3 linked regions of the Anolis sagrei genome follow. The protein of the gene in region 3 binds, or shares a complex with, the protein of the main gene of each other region. Links are inferred from orthologs where the notes say so. Each region holds a gene or a part of one and is shown on either strand. Other genes may lie near its edges.

Region 1 (7,770 bases), on a different chromosome or scaffold from region 3:
ATTTTTTCCAAGGTCTGCTCTCATCCCTAGCAATAAAAATAGAAAAAGTAAACAATCTGCTTCTTTTTCATGAAAGTGATACACAAAATCGGCTATGGAAAGCAGATTGTCCATTCTGGATGTGTCTGGATTGTAGAATGAATACAGGTTGACATCACTTTAACTGCCGTGGCTCAATCATGGGAATTTGGCAGAGAAAACAAGAGACATTGTAAAACTACATTTCCCATGATTCAATTGAATTAAACTATGGCTGTTAAAGTAGAGTTGAACCGCATTAATTCTATAGTGTATATACTATAATGTTGAATAAAAGGGTCAGGCCTGCTAGAATTAGCACTTTTTGCTGGCTTTTCAGTTGACCTTTAAGAGCAGTTCTTTCAACAGTGATGTGATTTGGAAGAATTGGCAAATAAGCTTCTCATTATGCAGAGATAAACGTTATAACTCACCATCTACTCACTAGAACCCGAAATTCAGCAATTTAATCCATAGATCTTCCACTAGTTCAATAAAGTGGATGAATGTTTCTCCACCAACACAATGAAATTCGAAATTCAGTTTTGTTTCAGATCTGTAACCTCCAGGAGAGTACATTGTGATCTTTTGCACATGTTATAACCATCTTTGCCATTGGCCCTAATTGGCATTCTCGCTGGAGTCTTCTGCAGGAAAGAAAAAAAAGCTGAGGATTCTGGGAATGCCTTGAAAGGGAATGTCCCGTCATGATCCCTTTGATGTTCTTTCCATATGAAAATCAATCAGCATGAAGCCATAAGCAAAGCAGATGGCAAGGCTTCAGAATCAAGGCTTCCATCCTAAAATGCATTTGTGCCAGTCATGGGGTTACAGCCCCGGTAACATGATAAATAAGTGTTTGGAGGAGGAAAGAGATGCTTTACTGCAAACTCTATGAACAAAATTATGAATGTTGGCATCCGGTGTGGGTATTCTAACCTTAAACATTATAGCATTGATTCTGCCCTTTACATTTCTGGGGGAGAAAGGACTAAAAATGCGGCTTCAGTATCTGCACTATTTTTGTCATCTAATTACTGCATTTTATTTAAGATTAATGCGATACATATTTCATTTTTAGGTGTACTAGCAGATCATGTTCCCGAAGAAACATATATGGGCTAAAAGTATTTGCCTGCATTACATATACCATGGAAATGAGTAAGATTGCATAAAAACTGTATCAAAATCAAAGGAATATTTAATAATAATAAAACTTTATTTATATACCACTCTATCTCCCCTGGGGGACTTAGGGCAGTTTCCAAATTGTAAAAACACAAATCCATACAGAGTAAGCAAAAAACAAACAAACAAAAACAGACCAACACATACGCATAAAACAGTCAAACAACACATGTACAATAAAACCAATCAACCTTATTCTTCATACTAGGATTAACTATTAGGGCCAAGCAATCTTTTTGTGGACTGAAACCAAACTAGAAATGGATGTATCTGGAATTTTTCCACTCAGTCCTCAAGAGAGTGATCTCTGGAACAAGTCCAATTTGGGATAGTTTGATATTCTTATTTGGCATGTAGAATAATAGAATTATAGAATCATAGAGTTGGAAGAGACCTTGTGTGCCATCTAGTCCAACCCCCTGCCAAGGAGCAGGAAAATTGCATTCAAAGCACCCCGACAGATGGCCATCCAACCTCTCAGCTCAGGTCCTCCCTCTTTAAAGATTTCAGAAGGGATCCCATCAGGTCTGCTGGCTTTGTTATTTTTTGTTGGTTGATGACATTGCTGACTTCTTCCAAACTAGGCAGTGCTGCAAACTCATCCCTGATTTGTGGGAGAACCTCTTTGGCCACATTCGAGCTGCGGTTCTGGAGGCTTTGGTAGTGTTCTTTCCAACGTAGTGCAATTGATTTTTGGTCCTTCAGGAGTTTGGTTCCATCTGATGAGCGTAGAGGCTGTATGCCATGGTTTCTTGGTCCATAGATGACCTTTGTGGCTGTGAAAAATCCCTGAGCATCACGGGTATCTGCCAGGTGTTGGATTTCTTCAGCCTTCTTTGTCCATGAGATGTTCTTAAGTTCTCTTGTCCTTCTTTGGATCTTAGTTTTTGCACTGGTGTAGATCTTTTTCTTATGGGTCTCCATGGCTTTGACTAGGCGGATCTTTGTTGCCAGTGTGATGTCTCTACTCTTTACTATTTTATTGAGGTTGGACCTTGCTCTCCTCCCAAGAAGTAAGGGTCTTCTGATTTCCTGGCCACAGTAATCTTTGCACCTAGAAATACAAAGTCTGTCACAGCCTCCACATTTTCTCCCTCTATTTTCCAGTTGTCAATCATTCTTGTTGCCATAATCTTGTTTTTTTTTTTTTAATGTTTAGCTGCAACCCAGCTTTTGTGCTGGGCTACACTGACCATGCAGACTGTGGCCAGGAAATCAGAAGACGCTTACTTCTTGGGAGGAGAGCAATGTCCAGTCTCGATAAAATAGTAAAGAGTAGAGACATCAGACTGGCAACAAAGATCCGCCTAGTCAAAGCCATGGTATTCCCTGTAGTCACCTACGGATGTGAGAGCTGGACCTTAGGGAAGGCTGAGCGAAGGAAGATAGGATGCTTTTGAACTGTGGTGCTGAAGGAAAGTTCTGAGAGTGCCTTGGACTGCGAGAAGATCCAACCAGTCCATCCTCCAGGAAATAAAGCCCGACTGCTCATTGGAGGGAAGGATACTAGGGACAAAGTTGAAGTACTTTGGCCACATCATGAGTGTCATGCGTTAGCATGAGTAGCATGCAGATTGACTCTAGCCCAGTTAACTGTGTGTGTGATGAATTGGCTCTTAAAAGAAAAACACATGAGTAGAAAAGAAAAATATTGTAGTATTGGCAGCATACAAAACAAAATAGCAGGATTGCTGTTTCCACAAAAGTAACATGAAACAATATCTTCTGAGAGATATCATTACTCAGCTGTGATAAGCAGGAATCCTTGTCCTCTTCCCATGGCTGTGTCTTCGCAGGACATCTGCAGCATAGTCCCTGGCTTACACAAGGCAGAATGGCACAGAGGCATAGATGCACAATGGCAAAGAAGCTAAACACACAGTAGCTATCTTTATACACATGAAAATAATACTCTCAATTAACTCTTCAATTAACTCAAACAGCTGTAGCACAAACAGCCTTGAACTTTACAGCAACTTAAAGTTATAGCACAAACAACATTGATCCTTACAACAACTTAGATAAAGTACGTTACAACCTCTTAGTAGCAACAATGAGGAGACAGCAAAGCCTAGAGAAGACAATTATGCTGGGGAAAGTGGAAGGCAAAAGGAAGAGGGGCCGACCAAGGGCAAGATGGATGGATGGCATCCTTGAAGTGACTGGACTGACCTTGAAGGAGCTGGGGGTGGTGACGGCCGACAGGGAGCTCTGGCGTGGACTGGTCCGTGAGGTCACGAAGAGTCGGAGATGACTGAACGAATGAACAACAACAAGTGAGACTCTACTGTATCATCTGCATATCTAAGGTTGCTAATGTTTCGTCCAGCAATGTTAACTCCAGCCTTGGATTCATCAAGTCCCGCACGTCGCATGATGTCTTCTGCATACAAGCAGAATAGGTTGGGTGAGGGCAGGGCCGTAGCCAGAAAAAAATTTCGGGGAGGGTTGACAATTTCGGGGGAGGGGGGGTTGAAAATTTCGGGGAGGGTTGAAAATTTTGGCAGGGGGGAGGGGTGAAACCTGCCTCCTAGCTCACGCTGAAGCAAAGAGTACAGCAGGGGGCAGAGCAACCTTCAATAGCCTGCAGCTCCACCCCTGTCAACCAACTCCACCAAATCTGGCCTTCTTAATGAGAGCATTCAACACATAAACCCCCAACTTGGTTGCTTCACTACATCAGGTATTGCTGCAAGTAATGACAGTGTGAGTAAATTGTCAATATTTGCTTGAGATAGTGCTTACAATTCTGGAGGGACTCTTAATTTTTTGCATCTCATAGACTTAGCATGGGGATTTGGTTAACCAATTAAAATTCATGAGTAAATCAGGTTTTTTAAAAAAATCTGAAACATTTCGGGGGGGGATTGAACCCCTAAAACCACCCCCTCGCTACAGGCCTGGGTGAGGGTACCCTGCCTTGCTGTACTGGGCTACACTGACCATATAGTCCACTTTCAAATTGCATGATATGCCAGTGTTGATACTCCCAGGTTCCTATTGACAGGACAACTTTTCCCCTCCTAGAACCAGTGCAGCTGAACCCAAGGGATGGACAGCAACAGAGAAGCACTTTCTGGCCAGGAAGGAAGCCTTGTGAACTACACCTCCCAGCGTGCCTTGCGAGCGCCTTTTCCTGTGAAGGAGGAGGGGGAGGAAGAGAAGGAGGAGGAAAGGAAGGAAAAAAAAAAGCCCAAGGCGAGGAGGGAGTGTGGGTGGGGAAAGCGACGCCTCTGTTCTCCTTCCTTCCTTCCTTCTTCCTCTCTCTCTCTCCTTCTCTTGAGGCTCAGGCGGCATCTCCCCCCTCGCCATAACCGAGAAGGCAGCGAGAGAGCGGGGTCTGGGGTCTGGGCGCCTGTCTCTGGAAGGGAGAAGGGAGCGATGCGGAGGGGAGGAAAATGGCAGAGCTGCAGATGTTACTAGAGGAGGAAATCCCTTCTGGGAAGCGGGCTTTGCTCGAGAGCTACCAGAACCTCACCAGGGTCGCCGACTACTGCGAAAACAACTACATCCAGGTAAGAAGGGAGAGCCAAGGAGGGAGGGAGGGAGGCAGGCTCGCCTTGGAAGGGGCCAAGACCCACGCCTGCCTTCATTTCCTTCCTTCCTTCTTGCTCGCCTCCATGGCAGGAGGAGGAAGAAGGGGGGAAGGAGCCACTCGCCTTACAGGAAGTGGGCAAGGGCTCTTGCAAAGGGAGGAAGGCCAGCCAGGCCTTCCTCCCTTTGCAAGAGCCCTTGCCCACTTCCAATGGGTGCATTGTGACCCCACTTTGAGTTGTCAGGATTCAATGCTAGGAGTTGTAGTGGACAGACTTTTATGGAACTACCACTCTCAGGTTTCCATAGCCTTGAGCCTCAACAACCACAGTGGTGTCAAACTGTGTTTGCTGGACAGTGTTTTTGTTTGTTTGGTTGCATGAGGAAGAATTTGCAGACTGTGAGATCCGTTCAGCAGTGGAACTCTCTGCCCCGGAGTGTGGTGGAGGCTCCTTCTTTGGAAGCTTTTAAGCAGAGGCTGGATGGCCATCTGTCAGAGGTGATTTGAATGCAATATTCCTGCTTCTTGGCAGAATGGAGTTGGACTGGATGGCCCATGAGGTCTCTTCCAACTCTTTGATTCTATGATTCTATGCTGCAAGTCGCTTCTGGTGTTAGACAATCAGCCGTCTACAAAGACGTCACCCAAGGGATGCGTTTTTTAAATACATTACAGTTGTATCCTCAGTTTGCTTCTGATACGATAAATAAATGGACAGTGTAAATCAGGCATGGGCACACTTCAGCCCTCCAGGTGTCTTGGACTTCAGTTCCCAGGAATCCTAGTGTTGGACTGCAATGCCCACCGGCTGTTAGGAATTGTGGGAGTTGAAGTTCAAAACACCTGGAGGGCCAAAGTTTGCCCATAGAATCATAGAATCAAAGAGTTGGAAGAGACCTCATGGGCCATCCAGTCCAACCCCATTCTGCCAAGAAGCAGGAATATTGCGTTCAAATCACCCCTGACAGATGGCCCTCCAGCCTCTGTTTAAAAGCTTCCAAAGAAGGAGCCTCCACCACACTCCGGGGCAGAGAGTTCCACTGCTGAATGGCTCTCACAGTCAGAAAGTTCTTCCTCGTGTTCAGATGGAATCTCCTCTCTTGTAATTTGAAGCCATTGTTCCGTGTCCTAGTCTCCAAGGAAGCAGAAAACAAGCTTGCTCCGTCCTCCCTGTGGCTTCCTCTCACATATTTATACATGTCTATCATATCTCCTCTCAGCCTTCTCTTCTTCAGGTTAAACATGCTTGTTCTCCAGACTCTTGATCATTTTAGTCGCTCTCCTCTGGACACATTCCAGCTTGTCAATATCTCTCTTGAATTGTCGTGCCCAGAATTGGACACAATATTCCATGCCTGGTATAGATGCACCCTAAGGTGGACCAGACCAGGGGTGCAGCCTACATGGTAGAAGTACTGGGGTTCCACACCACTTGAACTGCTATGGCTCAACGCTATGGAATTGTGTGTGTTGTCATCTGGTGAGGCTATAGAATTCTTTGGCAGGGAAGACTAAGGACCTTGTAAATCTACAATTCATAGAATTCAATAGCACTGAGCCATGGCAGTTTTATTATGCTTTTAAAGTAATTACGTTGTTTTAATTTACTTACTTTTGGTTAGTAATAATAATGATAATGATAATCTTTATTTATCCCAACACCATCTCCCAAAACGGAACGAGGGCAGTTTACAAGGCACTTTTTTTTGTCGTGTCAGGAGTGACTTGAGAAACAAGGCACTACAAATGTAGTATATTATATAAAAGGTACATGGGTATAAAAACAATATAGCACAACAATTATAATAACAACCACTATTAACACATAAAATAAAATATAACACAGTTTAAAATGCAGAACATTTGTAGTTAAAACTAGCAGCCTTCAAATCACAATTACAGTGCCAAAGTGTCAACCTCATATGGGCCCATTTCAGCCTACTCAAGGCCAAAAGCCTGCTTAAAAATCAATGTTTTTAGGCTGGATCGGAAAGAGTCAAGGGTGGGGGCTAACCTAATATCTTTTGAGAGGGTATTCCAGAGCCAGGGAGCCACTACTGAGAAGGTCCTCTCTCTCATCCCCACCAACCATGCTTGAGACGGAGTCCCCGGTGGCGCAGTGGGTTAAACCCCTGTGCCGGAAGGACTGAAGACCTGCAGGTCACAGGTTCGAATCTGGAGAGAGGCGGATGAGCTCCCTCTATCAGCTCCAGCTCCTCATGCGGGGACATGAGAGAAGCCTCCCACAAGGATGACAAAAACATCAAATCATCCAGGCATCCCCTGGGCAACGTCCTTGCAGACGGCCAATTCTCTCACACCAGAAGCAACTTGCAGTTTCTCAAGTCGCTCCTGACATGACAAAGAAAATGCTTGAGACAGTAGTGGAACCGAGAAAAGGGCCTCCCTTGCTGATCTCAAAGCCCACGCTGGTTCACAGAAAGAGATGAAGGACCCAAAGCATATGTGGCTTTGTAGGTAATAACTTGCATCTTGAAATGAGCCCAGAAAATTGTCGGAATCCAGAGGAGCTGCTTGGGTATGTTCCCTATAGCTAGCTCCAATTAGTAAGCTTATAAGTTTATATTGATGTTGTTTCATTCATTGGTTCAATTTGGTTTTGTTTTCATTATGGCATTGAATGCTTGCCATTTTTTTGTTTGGAAACCGCCCTGAGTCCCCTCGGGGAGATAGGGCGGGTTATAAATAAAGTTTTATTATTACTATTATGGCAGTCCAAGTGGTGTCAAACTATAATAAGTCGACAGCAGTGGTTCTCAACCTGTGGGTCTCCAGGTGTTTTGGTCTACAACTCCCAGAAATCCCAGCCAGTTTTCCAGCTGTTAGGATTTCTGGGAATTGAAGGCCAAAACATCTGGGGAACCACAGGTTGAGAACCACTGCTCTACAGGTTGAGAACCATTGGTCTAAAGTGTAGATCAGGCCCGGGCAAACCTGGAGGGCCCAAGTTTGCCCATGCCTGATGCAGATGTACACTTGGAAGAGTGCTGAAGATGGTTGGGGTTTTT
Region 2 (8,477 bases), on a different chromosome or scaffold from region 3:
TACAATTAATAATTCAAATGACCCTTGGTTCACAATAATGGGTCACAGCTGAAGGGAACAACATATCTGCTAAGTCTAAAATGACAGCATGCAGGCAGCTTTGGTGAAGGCCAATCTTTTTGTTAACTGTGGAAACTGGGCAGATGCAAGATACTATTCAAAAAACAGAACTCAGATTAGATCACAAAAATCTGAATGGTCGTTTTTCACCTCTGATCCCAAAGAGTGCCCCATTGTCGCACGTCTTTTACTAGAGACTGAAGGAAAAACCAGAAGAGACCAAAAATAGCTGAGGATGTGAAAAAGGTGTGTGGGGGGGGGGGGGGGAGAACAAGTTGATTTTTAAGATAAGGAAAAAATGATCGCAATCTACAGACCAGGTGATGATTAGGTTTCCTTAGGCCAGACTGAAAAGTTGGGGAGAAGAAAGGAAAAATAAGAAAAGGAAGATAATGTCTCTAGATAATCTTGTACCTGGTAAGCAGAAGAAAAAGGATGTTGGGGTGAGGGAGAGAAGAGACAAAAGGAAAGGACACCCAAACTCCTTGGCCTGTTATGATGTGGACCAATGTTATTTTTTTATCACCAGTATATTGAAGTAATAGTGACTGAACTGCCAAACCTTCAAACTGCTGAGTCTCTTAAAGTAGAAGAAAACAGACGAAAAAAGGCCAGACAAGCCCTAGAGGAGGTTCCCTTTGCTTATAAGGATGTGGACCTAACATATATATAGGATGGTGAATGGTTGCTCCTCAAACAACTGGGTGTCATAAGGGGAAGAGATGGATGGTTCCTCTTTTGCCTATAATAATGTGGACCACTGTTATATACAGATACACAAAAGACTCAAATATTTGTGTGTGTGAAAGAATTGTGAGTTGTTGGCCCTCAAATTAATGGGTATTTCAAGTAGAAGAAATGAGGAAAAACCAGACAAGCCCTAGAGCAGGCTCCTCTCAGCCTGTATGGATGTGGGGCTAATATCTATATCCTGGAGTAATACTGAGTAATCACCCTTCAAATTACTGATTCTTGTAAGTAGAAGAAATGAGCATAAGCCAGAAAAGTCCCAGAGCAGGCTCTTCTCAGCCTATATGGATGTGGGGCCAATATCTATATCTTTATACTGAAGTAATGGTGAGTAGCCTCCCTTCAAAACACTGAATCTTTTAAGTAGAAGAAATGAGCAAAAGCCAGAAAAGCCCAGAGCAGGCTCCCCTCTGCCTATATGGACATGGGGCTAATATCTATATCTTTATACTGAAGTAATGGTGAGTAGTCTAGCATAAGCCAGAAAAATCCCAAAGCAGGCTTTTCTCAGCCTATATAGACATGAGGCGAATATCTTTATCTTTATACTGAAGTAATGGTGAGTAGTCTGGCATATGCCAGAAAAGTCCCAGAGCAGTCTCCCCTCAGCCTATATGGATGTGGGGCTAATATCTATACCTTTATCCTGGAGTAATGGCGAGTAGTCGCCCCTCAAACTATTGAATCTTTTAAGTAGAAGAAATGAGCAAAACCAGAAAAGTCCCAGAGCAGGCTCCCCTCAGCCTATATGGATGAGGGGCTAATATCTATATCTCTATACTGAAATAATGGTGAGTAGTCACCCTTCAAACTACTGAATCTTTTAAGTAGAAATGAGCAAAAGCCAGAAAAGCCCCAGAGCAGGCTCTTCTCAGCCTATAAGGACGTGGGGCTAATATCTATATCTTTATACTAAAGTAATGGTGAGTAGTCACCCTTCAAATTACTAAATCTTTTAAGTAGAAGAAATGAGTAAAAGCCAGAAAAGCCCAGAGCAGGCTCCCCTAAGCCTATATAGACGTGGGGCTAATATTTAAATACTGAAGTAATGGTGAGCAGTCTGGCATAAGCCAGAAAAGTCCCAGAGCAGGCTCCCCTCAGCCTATAAGGACGTGGGGCTAATATCTATATCTTTATACTAAAGTAATGGTGAGTAGTCACCCTTCAAACTACTGAATCTTTTAAGTAGAAATGAGCAAAAGCCAGAAAAGTCCTAGAGCACGCTCTTCTCAGCCTATATAGACGTGGGGCTAATATCTATATCTTTATCCTGGAGTAATGGTGAGTAGTCACCCCTCAAACAACTGAATCTTTTAAGTAGAAGAAATGATCAAAAGCCAGAAAAGCCCCGGAGCAGGCTCTTCTCAACCTATAAGGACGTAGGGCTAATATCTATATCTTTATAATGAAGTAATGGTGAGTAGTTCCCTCTTAAACTACTGAATCTTTTAAGTAGAAATGAGCAAAAGCCAGAGAAGCCCCAGAGCAGGCTCTTCTTGGCCTATAAGGATGTGGGGCTAATATCTATATCTTTATCCTAAAGTTATGGTGAGTGGTTGGGTCTAATTCTTCTGTCTTTATACTGATGAGTGCTGGCTCCTCAAACCAGTGGGTCTCTTAAATAGAAGAAAAAGAGATGGGAGGTGGGGAAATACAGGAAGTAAAGGAGACTACAGCAATGTTTAATATTTGTAATATGAATTTTCCTCAAAAGTGGGGAGAAAAAGAGAGGCTTCAAAGGAGAGTGGTCTGGACCTCAAAAGCAGAAGGAAAAGGGGGACTGGGAGGGGCAGAGAAAAGGCAAAGGCCGCCCAGCTCTCCCCCAATGTTATAATTTATATCTAGTGCTATACTATAAGCATGGGAAGGGGTGGGCTCTCAAAGTAGGCGAGAAGAGATGGGCCAATCTAGAGAAAAGGCCATAGCGAGTGGTCTCTCAAACGAGCAGGCCTATGTGGCCTTCCTTCTCCTCTCTTTCTCGCCACGCGACCCCTCCCCTCGCTGCCCCCGCCCAAGTTGTGACGCCACAATCCCTCGCGCGCTCCGATCAAAACCCACCCGGCCTCCTCCTCCTCCTTCACCCCCTCCCTCCCTCCCTCCCTTCCTTCCCGCGAAGCGTCTCGCCCTCGCGCACGCCGGCCCCTTTCGCTTGCCGTACATGCGCGCGCCACACACTCACTCACAGTCATACACTCACTCTCTTTTTCCCTCCCTTGACTAATTCCCCTCCTCTCCCTCCTTCCACCGCCTTTTAATCATGACGAGACATTTAAAGATTTCTTTTAAAGGACTCAAAAGAGGGGGAAAGGGGGAAGGGAAGCCGCACAACGCGAGGCGAGGAGGACACTCACCGGTTCCACCGTCGCCATCTTAGATCGCTCTGCTCGCCCAAGCGCGGAGGGGAGGGGGGAAACGAGCCAGGTTCGAAGCTGATTGGCTGCCCGCGGGTCACGTGGAGGCGGCGGCGGTTTGGGCGGCTCGGCGCGTGCGCGGGGGGAGGGGGGAGAGCGGCGCCTTCTGGGAAGTGTAGTCCCCGGTGTATTTTTTTTCTCTCCTCGCCTTCCCAGCCTCTTCAGGTCACGTGGGAGAGGCAGGCGTGGGCCTGTCACGCTGAGGCGGCGAGGAAGGAAAGGAAAGGAGGAGGCCGGGCTTTCGTCACTCAGGGGTGTGTCTGTCAGCATGTGTGATGCAAGGCCTGCCCCTCACCGTCGTCGTCCCCCGAGAGACCACCTCGCCCCCAAAGACAGGCCTCAACTGCACCAGGCCTGGGCACACTTGGGCCCTCCCTCCAGGTGTTTTGGACTTCAACTCCCACAATTCCTAACAGCCTAACACACTACATCAAGGACTCGGCCCACTTCATTGAAAAAATCAGCAATCTCAAGCTAAATACAAATGACAAACTGATCAGCTTCGATGTGGTGTCTCTATTTACCATGGTCCCAGTTGCAGACACCATGGCACTCATCAACCAGAGGTTCCCAGAAGACATCACGGCGCTGTTTCACCATTGCCTCACCACCAGATATTTTCAGTGGGACAATGAATTCTACGAACAGAAAGATGGAGTAGCTATGGGGAGCCCTCTCAGCCCAGTTATAGCTAACTTCTACATGGAACGCTTTGAAAAACAAGCTCTTGAAACAGCAACTAAAAAGCCCACTATATGGTTCAGATATGTGGATGACACTTTCACCATTTGGAGCCATGGAGAAGAAGAACTCAACAGGTTCCTGGAACATCTTAACAGCATCCACCCTAACATCCAGTTCACTATGGAAAAAGAAAAGGAAGGAGGACTGACTTTTCTAGATGTCCTAGTCATCCGTAAACCAGATCAACAATTGGGTCACACCGTTTACAGAAAACCCACACACACAGATAGATATCTACATAAAAACTCCAACTATCACCCAAGTCAAAAAAGAAGCACCATTAAAGCCTTGGCAGACTGTGCAAAAAGAATCTGCGAACCCCACCTCCTCCAAGATGAACTGAACCACCTCAACTGGGCTCTACAGGCCAATGGATATTCCACCTCAGACATCAGAAGAGCTGCAAGACCAAGAACAAGCCATGAGAGTCAAGATGAAGATCCACCCAGAGGAAAAGTGTTCCTGCCATACATCAAGGGAACCACTGACCGCATAGGGAAGCTGATGAGGAAACACAACATACAAACAATCTACAAACCCACCAAGAAAATCCAACAAATGCTATGTTCAGCAAAGGACAAGAGGGATCCTCTCACCTCTGCAGGAGTGTACCATATACCATGCAGCTGTGGACAAGTCTACATAGGGACCACCAAACGCAGCGCCCAGACACGCATCAAGGAACATGAAAGGCACTGCAGACTACTTCAACCAGAGAAGTCAGCCATAGCAGAGCACCTGATGAACCAGCCTGGACACAGCATATTATTTGAGAACACAGAAATGCTGGACCACTCCAACAACCACCATGTCAGACTACACAGAGAAGCCATTGAAATCCACAAGCATGTGGACAATTTCAACAGAAAGGAGGAGACCATGAAAATGAACAAAATCTGGCGACCAGTATTAAAAAACTTGAAAATTGCAACAGCAAAACAGCAGAGAGGAAACAACCAGGCACATCTTAACACCTCTCAACAGAACATTTTCCCAGGCGCAGCCAGGCTTTCAAATGCTAATGAAGGTGGTCAGCTGAAACATTCACACCTAGCTTCAACAGAGAGCTCTTTGCCCCACCCCAGCCATTCCACAGATATATAAACCCATTGTCCTAATTCCAACAGACCTCACTACCTCTGAGGATGCTTGCCATAGATGCAGGCGAAACGTCAGGAGAAATGCCTCTAGAACATGGCCCGATAGCCTGAAAAAACCTACAAGAACCTAGCCGGTAGGCTGTTAGGAATTGTGGGAGTTGAAGTCCAAAACACCTGGAGGGAGGGCCCAAGTGTGCCCAGGCAATATTTTAGAATAGTGCCTTCAGCCCAGTTAGGCCTCATTCATACTCCTTTCAAACAAACTACAGGAAAGGAACAGACTGGTTCAAGATTGGGATACATAAGATTTAAACAGATTTAAAGCACTAGGTGAAAGAAGAAAGCGCAAAAGCTGGGTTGCAGCTAAACATAAAAAAAACCCAAGATTATGGCAACAAGAATGATTGACAACTGGAAAATAGAGGGAGAAATTGTGGAGGCCGTGACAGACTTTGTATTTCTAGGCACAAAGATTACTGCAGATGCAGACTATGGCCAGGAAATCAGAAGACGCTTACTTCTTGGGAGGAGAGCAATGTCCAATCTCGATAAAATAGTAAAGAGTAGAGACATCACACTGACAACAAATATCTCCCTAGTCAAAGCCATGGTATTCCCTGTAGTCACCTACAGATGTGAGAGCTGGACCTTAGGGAAGGCTGAGCGAAGGAAGATAGATGCTTTTGAACTGTGGTGTTGGAGGAAAGTTCTGAGAGTGCCTTGGACTGCGAGAAGATCCAACCAGTCCATCCTCCAGGAAATAAAGCCCAACTGCTTATTGGATGGAAGGATACTAGAGACAAAGTTGAAGTACTTTGGCACATCATGAGGAGACAGCAAAGCCCAGAGAAGACAATTATGCTGGGGAAAGTGGAAGGCAAAAGGAAGAGGGGCCGACCAAGGGCAAGATGGATGGATGGCATCCTTGAAGTGACTGGACTGACCTTGAAGGAGCTGGGGGTGGTGACAGCCGACAGGCAGCTCTGGCGTGGGCTGGTCCATAAGGTCAGGAAGAGTAGGAAGCGACTGAATGAATAAACAACAAAACAGGAAAGGAGATTCCACCTGAACATTAGGAAGAACTTCCTGACTGTGAGAGCTGTTCAGCAGTGGAACTCTCTACCTTGGAGTGTGGTGGAGGCTTTTAAGCTGAGGCTGGATGGCCATCTGCTGAGACTGCTTTGAATGCGATTTTCCTACTTCTTGGCATGGCGTTGGACTGGATGGCCCTTGAGGTCTCTTCCAACTCGATTCTATGATTCTATGAATTCCATTCACACCATATATCCTATTTATCCATGACATTAACTCTGCAGAAAATGCAAGGCTTTTAAATGCGAATCAAGTAGATTAATTGCAACATTAACACTTTAAACAGACAAGAGTTCTTTCTCCCAAATTGGACCTTCCACAGATATGTAAACATCACTTGCCTAGTTTTCCACAGGCCTCAAAACCTCTGAGGATGCCTGCCATAGATGTGGCTGAAACATCAGTAGAGAATGCTTCTGGAACATGGCCATACAGCCTGGAAAACTCATAGCAACCCTTTGCAGAAAATACTTCAGATGCAGTCCACGAAAAGGAAACCCAGCCTGTTCCTCAAAGCTTGCAAATACTGATTTATTGTGTTTGATTCTACCTATATATACAAGGTTAAGATGCCCTGAAGAGTAGATCAGACCCACTCAATCAACAGCTGAACGGTACAAGAAAAATTATATAGTGAGGGATGCAGCAAAATCCAAAAGTACAGGCAACAAACAAGATAGGTTCTGTAGGTTTGTTCTTAAGTTCGTATGCAAGTTGGAACAGGTTCATTTTTCAGTATAACTCCAATTATATTTATATTCCTTTCCTGTATTCCTTTGGAGCACTTGGTGGCGCAGCAGGTTAAATCGCTGAGCTGTTGAACTTGCTGACCGAAAGTTTAGCGGTTTGAATCCAGGGGGCAGGGTGAGATTCTGCTGTTAGTCCCAGCTTCTGCCAACCTAGTAGTTCGAAAACATGCAAACGTGAGTAGACCAATAGGTACTGCTCCAGCGGCAAGGTAACAGCGCTTGGTAACGGCACTCCGTACAGGCATGCCGGCCACATGACCTTGGAGGCATCTACGGACAACGCTGGCTCTTTGACTCAAAAATTGAGTTGAGCAGTCACACCCCAGAGTTGGACATTACTAGACATAATGTCAAGGGGAAGTCTTTACCTTTATCTGATTTGTTGTAGATCCACTATTTTCAGCCTCATGCAAATCTACCATTTCTCAAAATATATGATCCTGTGTTATTCTTTTGCATTTCTGTCTGAATAGCTTAACTTTGGATAATATTCTGACTTCGGTAATTTAGCAATTAAATTTTGCAGCAGTATCATCTGGGTTACTAGCCCTTGTGACCCTCTAGCTACTTGTCTTTCCCTCAGTTCCAGGGCTCAATCCCAACTGGTGGTGGGCGAGACATGGTGGAGCTTCCCCCTTTTTCTGGCTGCCCCCTCTTCACTCTGTGGCCTCATATATATATATATATAGAGAGAGAGAGAGAGAGAGAGAGTATAAAGGTAAAGGCTTCCCCTTCACATTAAGTCTAATCATGTCCGACTTGGCAGCGGGATGGTGGTGGTGCTCATCTCCTTTTCTAAGCTGAAGAGCCGGCGCTGTCCATAGATGTCTCCAAGGTCATGTGGCCAGCATGAGTGCATGGAGTGCCATTTCCTTCTCGCCGGAGTGATACCTATTGATAGACTCACATTTGCATATTTTCAAACTGCTAGGATGGTGGAAATTGGGGCTAACAGTGGGAACTCACCCCACTACCCAGATTCGAATTGCCAACCTTTTGGTTAGCAAGTTCAGCACTCAGCTGCTTAACCCACTGTGCCACAGGGGGCTCAATAGATATATCTACCTATCATCTATCTATCTAAAAGCTTTGGCTAGCATAGGGAATGGTTAACATCCTGTGGCATTTGTTTTGCTGTCTGTGCTCCTGTTCAGATTTCACCTCACTTTCCATCCCTGTGATAATTGTATTTTAAAAAATTTGGCTTGTTGTAGAAACAAGGAGTGGTGATAAAGCTTCAGTGGAGACACCTTTCCCCCATGATAACTCTTTCAGGAGTGAATTTCCCTTCCTAGAAGTAGATTTCTCTCATTTCCTGTTGTCTTGCATCAAATATTTTTATGCTTTTGGATTGGCTCAATAAAGGTGACCCTAAATTACATGTCAACATTTATATAAATCCAATTACTTAACGGAGTCTATTGAAGTTCACACGAGCAACTGGATTTGGGACGAAGTTGGGAATCATGAGACGCCAAAAAAGGAATGGACTGCAGCTCACAGCATTCTGCAGTATTGTCAATGCTGGCTATAGCCGCTAGAAGCTGTACTCCTACATGTTTCCCTCCTTG
Region 3 (7,845 bases):
AGAGAGGCCACTCTGAAATCCACAAGCATGTGGACAATTTCAACAGAAAGAAGTAAACCATGAAAATGAATAAAATTTAGCTATTTTAAAAAACTCTAAAAGCAGGACAGTAAATAAAGAGCAACACTAAAAAAAAATCATCAGAGCCAGCTAACACCTCCCAAAAAAGGATTCCCCAAAGGCAGGAAGCAGCCAGGCTTTGAAGCTACAAGGCCATTAAATGCTAATCAAGGTGGCCAATTGCAACATTCATGCTTGCCTCAAGCAGACAAGAGTTGTTCTCCCACCCTGGACATTATTCCACAGATATATACACCTCACTTGCCTAGTTTCCAACAGACCTCTCAACTTCTAAGGATGCCTGCCACAGATGTGGGCGAAACGTCAGGAGAATGATTCTGGAACATATGGCCATACAGAGAAACATCTCTCCACTTTAGCAACACCAATCCTAATATCACTTAACTGCAATACTCTAGACTGGCTTGCACAGCCTGCACCCCTCCAAATATTTTCGACTTCGGATCCCATAATTCCTGACCATTGGACATGCTGGCTAGGGCTTCTGGGAGTTTGAGGTCCAAACATCTGAAGGGCCACAAGTTATGCAGGCCTGCTTCATACCAAAGCTAGGCAGAGTGGTCCATGGGTTACTTGCAATTCTACAACTTTTCCCAAACTTCCCAGCTCTCCATAGAATATTTGTTTAAAAAATATGATTGTTGTCTGTTACTAAAATTTGGTGCACATTGTTAAATTCAGTTCCAATCAATTCCTTTTATTTCTCATAGCCTTGTTAATTCAATTGAACTTAATTAGATTTGAGGTTGGGAGAGATTTTAAGTACCAGTATGAATGCCTATTTGTTAATAAGTAAAAAAATTTTAAGGGTTTAATGACAATTTAATTAATTCCACTCTATATTTCTTAGGCAGATATTACAATTTATTTTCAACTCCAAAAACCTCTTTTAAAACCAAAACAATGTCGAAACAGTAAACTGCGCATCCTTCAAGCATTTGGGCCCTGGACTATTTCTGTTCTAAATTAGTTTGTCCTAAGAGACAGTATATATTCCACACTTTCTAAAGCGTGTGGCTCTCTCTATCCTAAATTAATACTTAGTGTACCTGAGATTTATGGTGCCCAGATCAAATATTTCAATATAATATTATGCCAGTGTTAGTATTAAGATGGTGTTCCCTGATGGCGCAGTGAGTTAAACCATTGAGCAGCTGAACTTGCCGACTTTCAGGTTGGCAGTTCAAATCCAGGGAGCGGGGTGAGCTCCCGCTGTTAGCCCCAGCTTCTGCCAACCTATTAGTTTGAAAACATGCAAATGTGAGTAGGTCACTAGGTATCGCTTCTGAAGGAAAGTAACGGCACTCCATGCAGTCATGCTGGCCTTGGAGGTGTCTACGGACAACGCCGGCTCTTTGGCTTAGAAATGGAGATGAGCACCACCCCTCAGAGTCTGACACAACTAGACTTAATGTCAGGGGAAACCTTTACCTTTACTTAGTATTAAGATGGCAACACTTAACCAAACTGTATTTTTAAAAATGCCTACTGCTCAAATGTCTATGAGAAATAGACATATTTCTTGAAAATGAATTTTAAAAGGCTCCCTTCCGCATACCACACCAAACTGCTTAAAACTGATTAGCTGCCTTTTAATTAGCTCAGTCGCAATCCTATGCATATTTATGGAAATGAGTTCTACTGAGTACACTTAGATCTTCCTTCTAAATAATAATTTTTCGATTATATGTGGCTAAAAAGAAACATACTGCGAAGTTACTAGCACATATCCCAAATCCTTTACTGCATTAGGTCATGTTATCCAAAGATCAATGTCACCCATCTTTTCAGATCAAGTGGGGGGGGGGGGTGTATATATCTGTGGGAGAAAGAAAACTTGTGTTTGAGGCAGGTGTGAATGTTGCAACTGGCCACTTAGCATTGAATAGCCTTGCAGCTTCAAAGCCTGCCTGCTTCCTCCATGGGGGAATACTTTGTTGGGAGGTGTTATTTCCCCACGCAGGAAGCAGCCAGGCTCTGAAGCTCAAGGCTATTCAATGCTAACTGGCATTGCATGGCCTTGCAGCTCCAAAGCCTGGCTGCTTCCTGCCTGGGGGAATCCTTTGTTGGGAGGTGCTATTCCTCCAGGCAGGAAGCAGCCAGGCTTTGGAGCTCAAGGCTATTCAATGCTAACTGGCCAACTGCAACATTCACACCTGCCTCAAGCAGACAAGAGTTCTTTCCCCCACCCTGGACATTCCACAGATATAGAAACTTCACTTGCCTAGTTTCCAACAGACTTCACAACCTCTGAGGATGTGGGCAAAATGTCAGGAGAGAGTGCTTCTGGAATATATGGCCATACAGGCCAGAAAACTCACAACAATCCTAACTTCGATTTCCCCATGAAATCCACAGATCCAGAGGCTACTTGCAAGGCACATACAGTCCTACACTCATCTAAGGTTCACCCAGATTTGAGCTGCATCTATATTCTATAATCAATGCAGTTTGACACCACTTTAACTGCCAGGCCTGGAGGCTATGGGGTCCTGGGAGCTGTAGTTTAGTGAGGCACCTGCACTTTGGGACAGAGAAGGTCAAAGATTTTGTGAAAATCCTCTAGCTTTGAGCCCTGGCTGCTGAAGGGGTATCAAACCGCGTTAATTCTACCGTGTGGCCTCAGGCAGACACGCCCGGGTCTCCTTCCTTCCTTTCTCTGAGGCGCCCGCTGGAGGGAAGTTGGAGTCTCAAGGCCCGCCCGCCCGGCCTCCCTCCTCCGTTTAGGCCGCAGCTGGGCAAGCCTTCCCTTTTCCCCGGCCTCCGACCCGACCCCACGCCTGCACAGCCAGGCGCCCAACCCCGTCCTCACAGGCCCCAGCCCGGAACAGCAGGCGGGCGCCAAGCGGGAGAAGAAGGGTCCTCTCACCCAGCAGCCGCCTCCTCGCCAGGCCCGGCGCCCGCCTTCCTCTCCCTCTCCCTCTCTCTCTCCGCGGGTCCAGGCTCCACTCCTTCGCGGGCCGAAGAAGAGGAGGAGGAGGAAGCGGAGGGGGTCTGCTCTCCTTGGCCCGGGCCACTTCCCTTGCCTCGCAGGCCCGCCGCGCACGAAGCTGGGAGTTTCCTGTCTGAGTCACTCCAAACAGACTCGCCAGGAAACACCCTTCCTCCTTCCCAACTCCAGCTCCTCCTCCTCCGTCCCAAACTCCTGCCCAGCCTCCTCAAGGAAGGAAGGAGGGAGGGAGGGAGAAGGGAAGGAAGTGAATGAGAGGAAGGGCAGAAGGGTGAGAGAGGGAAAGGGAGGAAAGAAGTGAGGAGGAAGAACGGAAGAGGGAGAGAGAGAAAGAAAGAAAGGGAAGAAGGGGAGAGGGGGGAAGAAAGGAAAGAAGTGAGGAGAAAGAACCAAAGAAAGGGAGGGAGATAAAGAAGGCGGGGACGAAGGAAAGAAGTGAGGAGAAAGAACCGAAGGGAGGGAGAGAAAGAAGAAGAAAGTGAAGAAGGAAAGAAGGGAGGGAGAGAAAGAAGAAGAAAGTGAAGAAGGAAAGAAGGGAGGAGAAAAGAACTCAAGGGAGAGAGGAAAAAAGAGAAGAAGAAAGGGAAGAAGAGGAGAGGAAGGAAAGAAATGAAGAGAAAGAACCGAAGGATGGGAGTGAGAGAAAGAAGAAAAGGAGGAAGGGGAGAGGAAGGAAGGAAAGAAAGAATGAAGGAGAAAGAACTGGAGGGAGGATAGAAGGGAGGAAGGGGAGAAGAAGCAAGGGAGGAAAGGTGGTGAAAGAACTGAAGGGAGGGAGGGAGAAGGAAGGGAGAAAGGGGGGAGGAAAGAAATCAGGAGAAAGAACTGAAAGAAGGAAAGGAGGGAGAGAAAGAAGAAAGGTAGAGAGGGGAGAGGAAGTAAGGAGAAAGAATTTAAGGGGAGATGGAAGGAAGGAAGGGGCGAGAAAAAGGAAAGAATGAAGAGAAAGAACCGAAAGGAGATAGAAAGGACAGAAGGGAGGAAAGAGAGAGAAAAATAACGAAGGGGGGGGGGACATAAGAGAGGAAAAGAACAGAAGGAAGAGAGATTAAGGAAAGAGAGAAGAAATAAAGGAAGGAAGGGGAGGAATAGACAGAAGGAATTTAGAGAGACAGTACAAGGATGGAAGAGAGAAAGGAAGGAAAAAAGTGAAGAGAAAAAAGAAGGGGGAGAGAGAAAGGACATAAGGAAGGGAAAAGGGAAGAGAGAAAGACTGAAGGAAAGCAAGAGTGGAAGGAAGATGGTAAGAAAGGAAAAGAATGAAAGGAAATGAGAGGAAAGAAGGGAAGAGACTGAAAGAGCAGAAGGGAGAAGGAGAGAAGAAATGGAAGGGAAATATTGAATGAATGGAAGGAAGGGGAAGAATGGACAGAAGAAATTGAGAAAGGACAGAATGATGAAATAGAGAAAGGAAAGAAAGAACTGAGAAGAACAGAAGAGAGATTAAAGGAAGGAAGAGAGAGGGGGTCCTTCCACACAGCCCTATATCCCAGAATATCAAGGCAGAAAATCCCACAATATCTGCTTTGAACTGGAATATATGGCAGTGTGGACTCAGATAACCCAGTTCAAAGTAGATATTGTGGGATTTTCTGCCTTGATATTCTGAATTATAGGACTGTGTGGAAGGGCCTGGAGAGAAAGGAAGAAGTGAAGAGGAAAAAAAAACCAAAGGGGGAAAGGACAGAAGAAAGGGGAAAAGGGAAGAGAGAAAGAATGAAAGGAGGAAAGCGAGAGAGGAAGGAAGAAGGGAAGCGAGAAAAGAACGAAAGGGGGGAAGTGAAGGCCCTTCCACACAGCCATATAACCCAGAATATCAAGGCAGATAACCCACAATATCTGCTTTGAACTGGGTTGTCTGAGTCCATATTGCCATATATTCCAGTTCATTGTGGATTTTATCATGTGTGTAGAAGGGGTCTCAAAGAGGAAGAAGGGAAGAAAGGAAAAGATCAGGAGAGAGGAAGGATGGGAGAGGGAAAGAGAAAAGAAATGGAAGGGTGAGAAAGGAAGAAAATGAAAGGGAGAGAGAAAAAGTGAAAAGGAGGGAGGGGGGGTAGGGAAGAGAAAGAAGAGTCAAAAGAAAGGAAGAGGTCTGCCTATTTGACTTGCCTGCCAAGGAATTCCCATCTTTTCCTTCTTAACCAGGGCATTCTCTACTAGGTTCACACCATTTTGCAGCCCGTGCATCCCGTCCCAACCAATACATCAGTATCAGCACCCCCTTTGTCTCCAAAATTGGGACCCTAAGCAGCTCAGAATTTAAGAGAATACATTTAAAAACATGTTGAAACATTAAAATAAAATCAGACTACTTACAATATCAAAACAGTTCACACCTAAATCTAAAAGGCAATCAAAATAGATCAAAGGCTCTTTTGATCCGTACAGCAGCCCCTTCCCTTCAATGGATGTACAGGACAGAATTTCAGCAGAAGGTGCCGTGGTGACAAGCAACATCAGGCGTCCATCTCTCTTTTCAGGCTGTCCGCTAGGAGAGAGTCTGGCAATTATTTCCCCAAATATACCAGGGACTGGCACTACATTTTTGTCTATTGGGTACAACTGCTTTTCTTTCCTGGAAACTGTCCAGAGATCAGCAGCCAATGAGTCAGAGCCCAACACTGCTTTGAGTAGCATTGTCTTACATAACCATTAAAGGGCCAGTGTGTCATTGTGGTTTGAGTGTTGGATTACAACCCTGGAGAATAAGGTTCGAATCCCAGTTTAACCATGAAAATCTACTTATCCAGAAAACCCTGTGGGTCTTCATCAGTCAGAAATGATGTGAAGGCACATAACAGCAAGCTCTGTCCCTTATTTCACCTGGCTACCCAAGTTCCACTATAAAGTGGAGGAATGTTGCAGGAAAAAATGCTAATTGTATGCTAATATGAAGACAATCTTGAGATCTATTTTCTGTTGCAAACAAAAGGAAAGAAGTGCCCTGTTATGATGCAAATGCCTTGAACCGGTTGGCATGAGGGACTACCCAATGTATAATAGATTGCTCTTTAAGCCTATGAACATGTTCATCATTTTTCTCCAAACGACTGAAAGTGTACATTTTTGCACTTGCATATTATTGTACGAGGGGCGTTCATTAAAGATTTCCCCTGAGCCACTTCCTGTGGACTGAGAGCAATAAAACTTGGCACAGTTATTAGTTTTTTCTCATAGGTGTCTCCCATCTTGTTAAGCAACTGTAAACACCTCGCTTGTAGAAGTTGACAGATTGCTCCAAAAGCCACATTGTGACTTTGGAAATAAGAGTCTCGTCATCTGCAAAATGCTTGCCCTTCAAAAATAAATTCATTGTTGGAAAGAGGTGGAAATCCGATGGTGTGAGGTCTAGTGAATGTGGTAGAATTTCAAAGCCACAGGAGCATGCTTCTTCCATTTGGGGTGAGAAGGGCGGGGTAGAAGTAACTGAAATAAATAAATAAATAATAAGTGCATTGTCTTGCAGAAAGTGGACGCCTTTGGTGACATGCCACATCTCTTGGTTTTGATGGCCTCCTGCAATTTCTGTAGCAGTCTCTTGGTTTTGATGGCCTCCTGCAATTTCCGCAGCAATGAAGCATAGTATGCCTCAGTGATCATGGTACCCTTTGCTACGAAATGCATCAGTACTACTCCATGCTGGTCCCAAAATACTGTGAGCATGACCTTGCTTGCTGAAAGTTGGGCACATGCCTTCTTTGGAGGCGGTGAGTCATGATGCTTCCATTGCATTGACTGGACTTTAGTCTCAGGATCATAGTAATGGATCAAGCTTTCATCCTGTGTAATCAATCTGCTAAAAAGTCCTCCTGGTTTCCATGGCACGTTGTCAAAAGAACCTGAAAGCATTCGACTCATTTCTGCTTCTGGAAAGGTGTGAGCAGCCGGGGAACCCAGCAAGCACATATCTTATAAATGTGAAGATTGTCTTGGATTATTTTTTCCATGGATCCCATACTAATGTTGACATTTTGGGCTAGGTGGAGAATGGTTATGAGGCAATTTTCCAAAATGGTGACCTTAACTTGCTGGATAGTGTGTTCATCAATAGCACAGTGGGGTTGCTCTGGAATTGGAGCTGTTTGCACCGAAGTCTGACCACACTGGAATTGACAATGCAGTTCTTTACTAGATCATATGATGGGGAATCATCACCATAAACCTCTTTCATCTCATCGAATGTCTCCTTTGGTGTGCGACATTTCAAATAAAAGAACTTGATGACTGCTCTGTATTCCACTGGATCCATTATCAAACATCACACCACTTCAGCACCTGTAAAAAAAAGACCGTTATCAGTTCTGCGTTGTAAATTGGCACGTAACCTATAGAAACTTAAATCATTATACATGTGCAGTTTCAAAGTCCTGTGATAAATATAAGCAGGTCAGGGGAAATCTTTAATGAACACCCTTCATATGCCTACCAAATCCTTGGTCTAAAGGCCCAAGAAATCTCAGAATGATTCTGGAAAAAACCAGTAAAATTTACTAAACTTTCAGCCAAATACTAAATAATAGACTGGGATCAATGAAGATAAATAAGGCATGTTGTTAAAAAAATCTACTTTAAACTAATATACTTTTTAAAAAAGTAATTTATTTACAACTCATCTTTTACAGTAATGATTAGAAGGCAACTTACAGCACCATACTCGTCAATATATAATTCCAAAACAGTCACATATTTCAAAACCTAATACATTTAAGTTTATTCCCCATCGTAATCAAGAACATCTGAGAAGGTGGTCCCAGATGAGCTTATTATCATAGAAGCTTCCCGTTTCATTCACTGCCAGAATGGGATAATGT

What was found.
Region 1: CYFIP1 (region 3) and ABI1 share a complex: the UniProt entries of both Homo sapiens proteins name them as parts of the WAVE2 complex. The link is inferred for Anolis sagrei from reciprocal best matches to the Homo sapiens genes CYFIP1 and ABI1.
Region 2: CYFIP1 (region 3) and EIF4E share a complex: the UniProt entries of both Homo sapiens proteins name them as parts of the CYFIP1-EIF4E-FMR1 complex. The link is inferred for Anolis sagrei from reciprocal best matches to the Homo sapiens genes CYFIP1 and EIF4E.

The regions. Positions count from the first base shown.
Region 1 is NC_090026.1:110,125,564-110,133,333, reverse strand, and holds the start of ABI1 (abl interactor 1), read left to right. Parts: upstream 1-4,368; 5' UTR 4,369-4,604; coding exon 4,605-4,721; intron 4,722-7,770. UniProt on the Homo sapiens protein: May act in negative regulation of cell growth and transformation by interacting with nonreceptor tyrosine kinases ABL1 and/or ABL2. May play a role in regulation of EGF-induced Erk pathway activation. Involved in cytoskeletal reorganization and EGFR signaling.
Region 2 is NC_090025.1:26,053,308-26,061,784, forward strand, and holds the start of EIF4E (eukaryotic translation initiation factor 4E), read right to left. Parts: upstream 3,250-8,477; 5' UTR 3,180-3,249; coding exon 3,162-3,179; intron 1-3,161. UniProt on the Homo sapiens protein: Acts in the cytoplasm to initiate and regulate protein synthesis and is required in the nucleus for export of a subset of mRNAs from the nucleus to the cytoplasm which promotes processes such as RNA capping, processing and splicing.
Region 3 is NC_090023.1:99,880,895-99,888,739, reverse strand, and holds the start of CYFIP1 (cytoplasmic FMR1-interacting protein 1), read right to left. Parts: upstream 3,251-7,845; 5' UTR 2,951-3,250; intron 1-2,950. UniProt on the Homo sapiens protein: Component of the CYFIP1-EIF4E-FMR1 complex which binds to the mRNA cap and mediates translational repression. In the CYFIP1-EIF4E-FMR1 complex this subunit is an adapter between EIF4E and FMR1.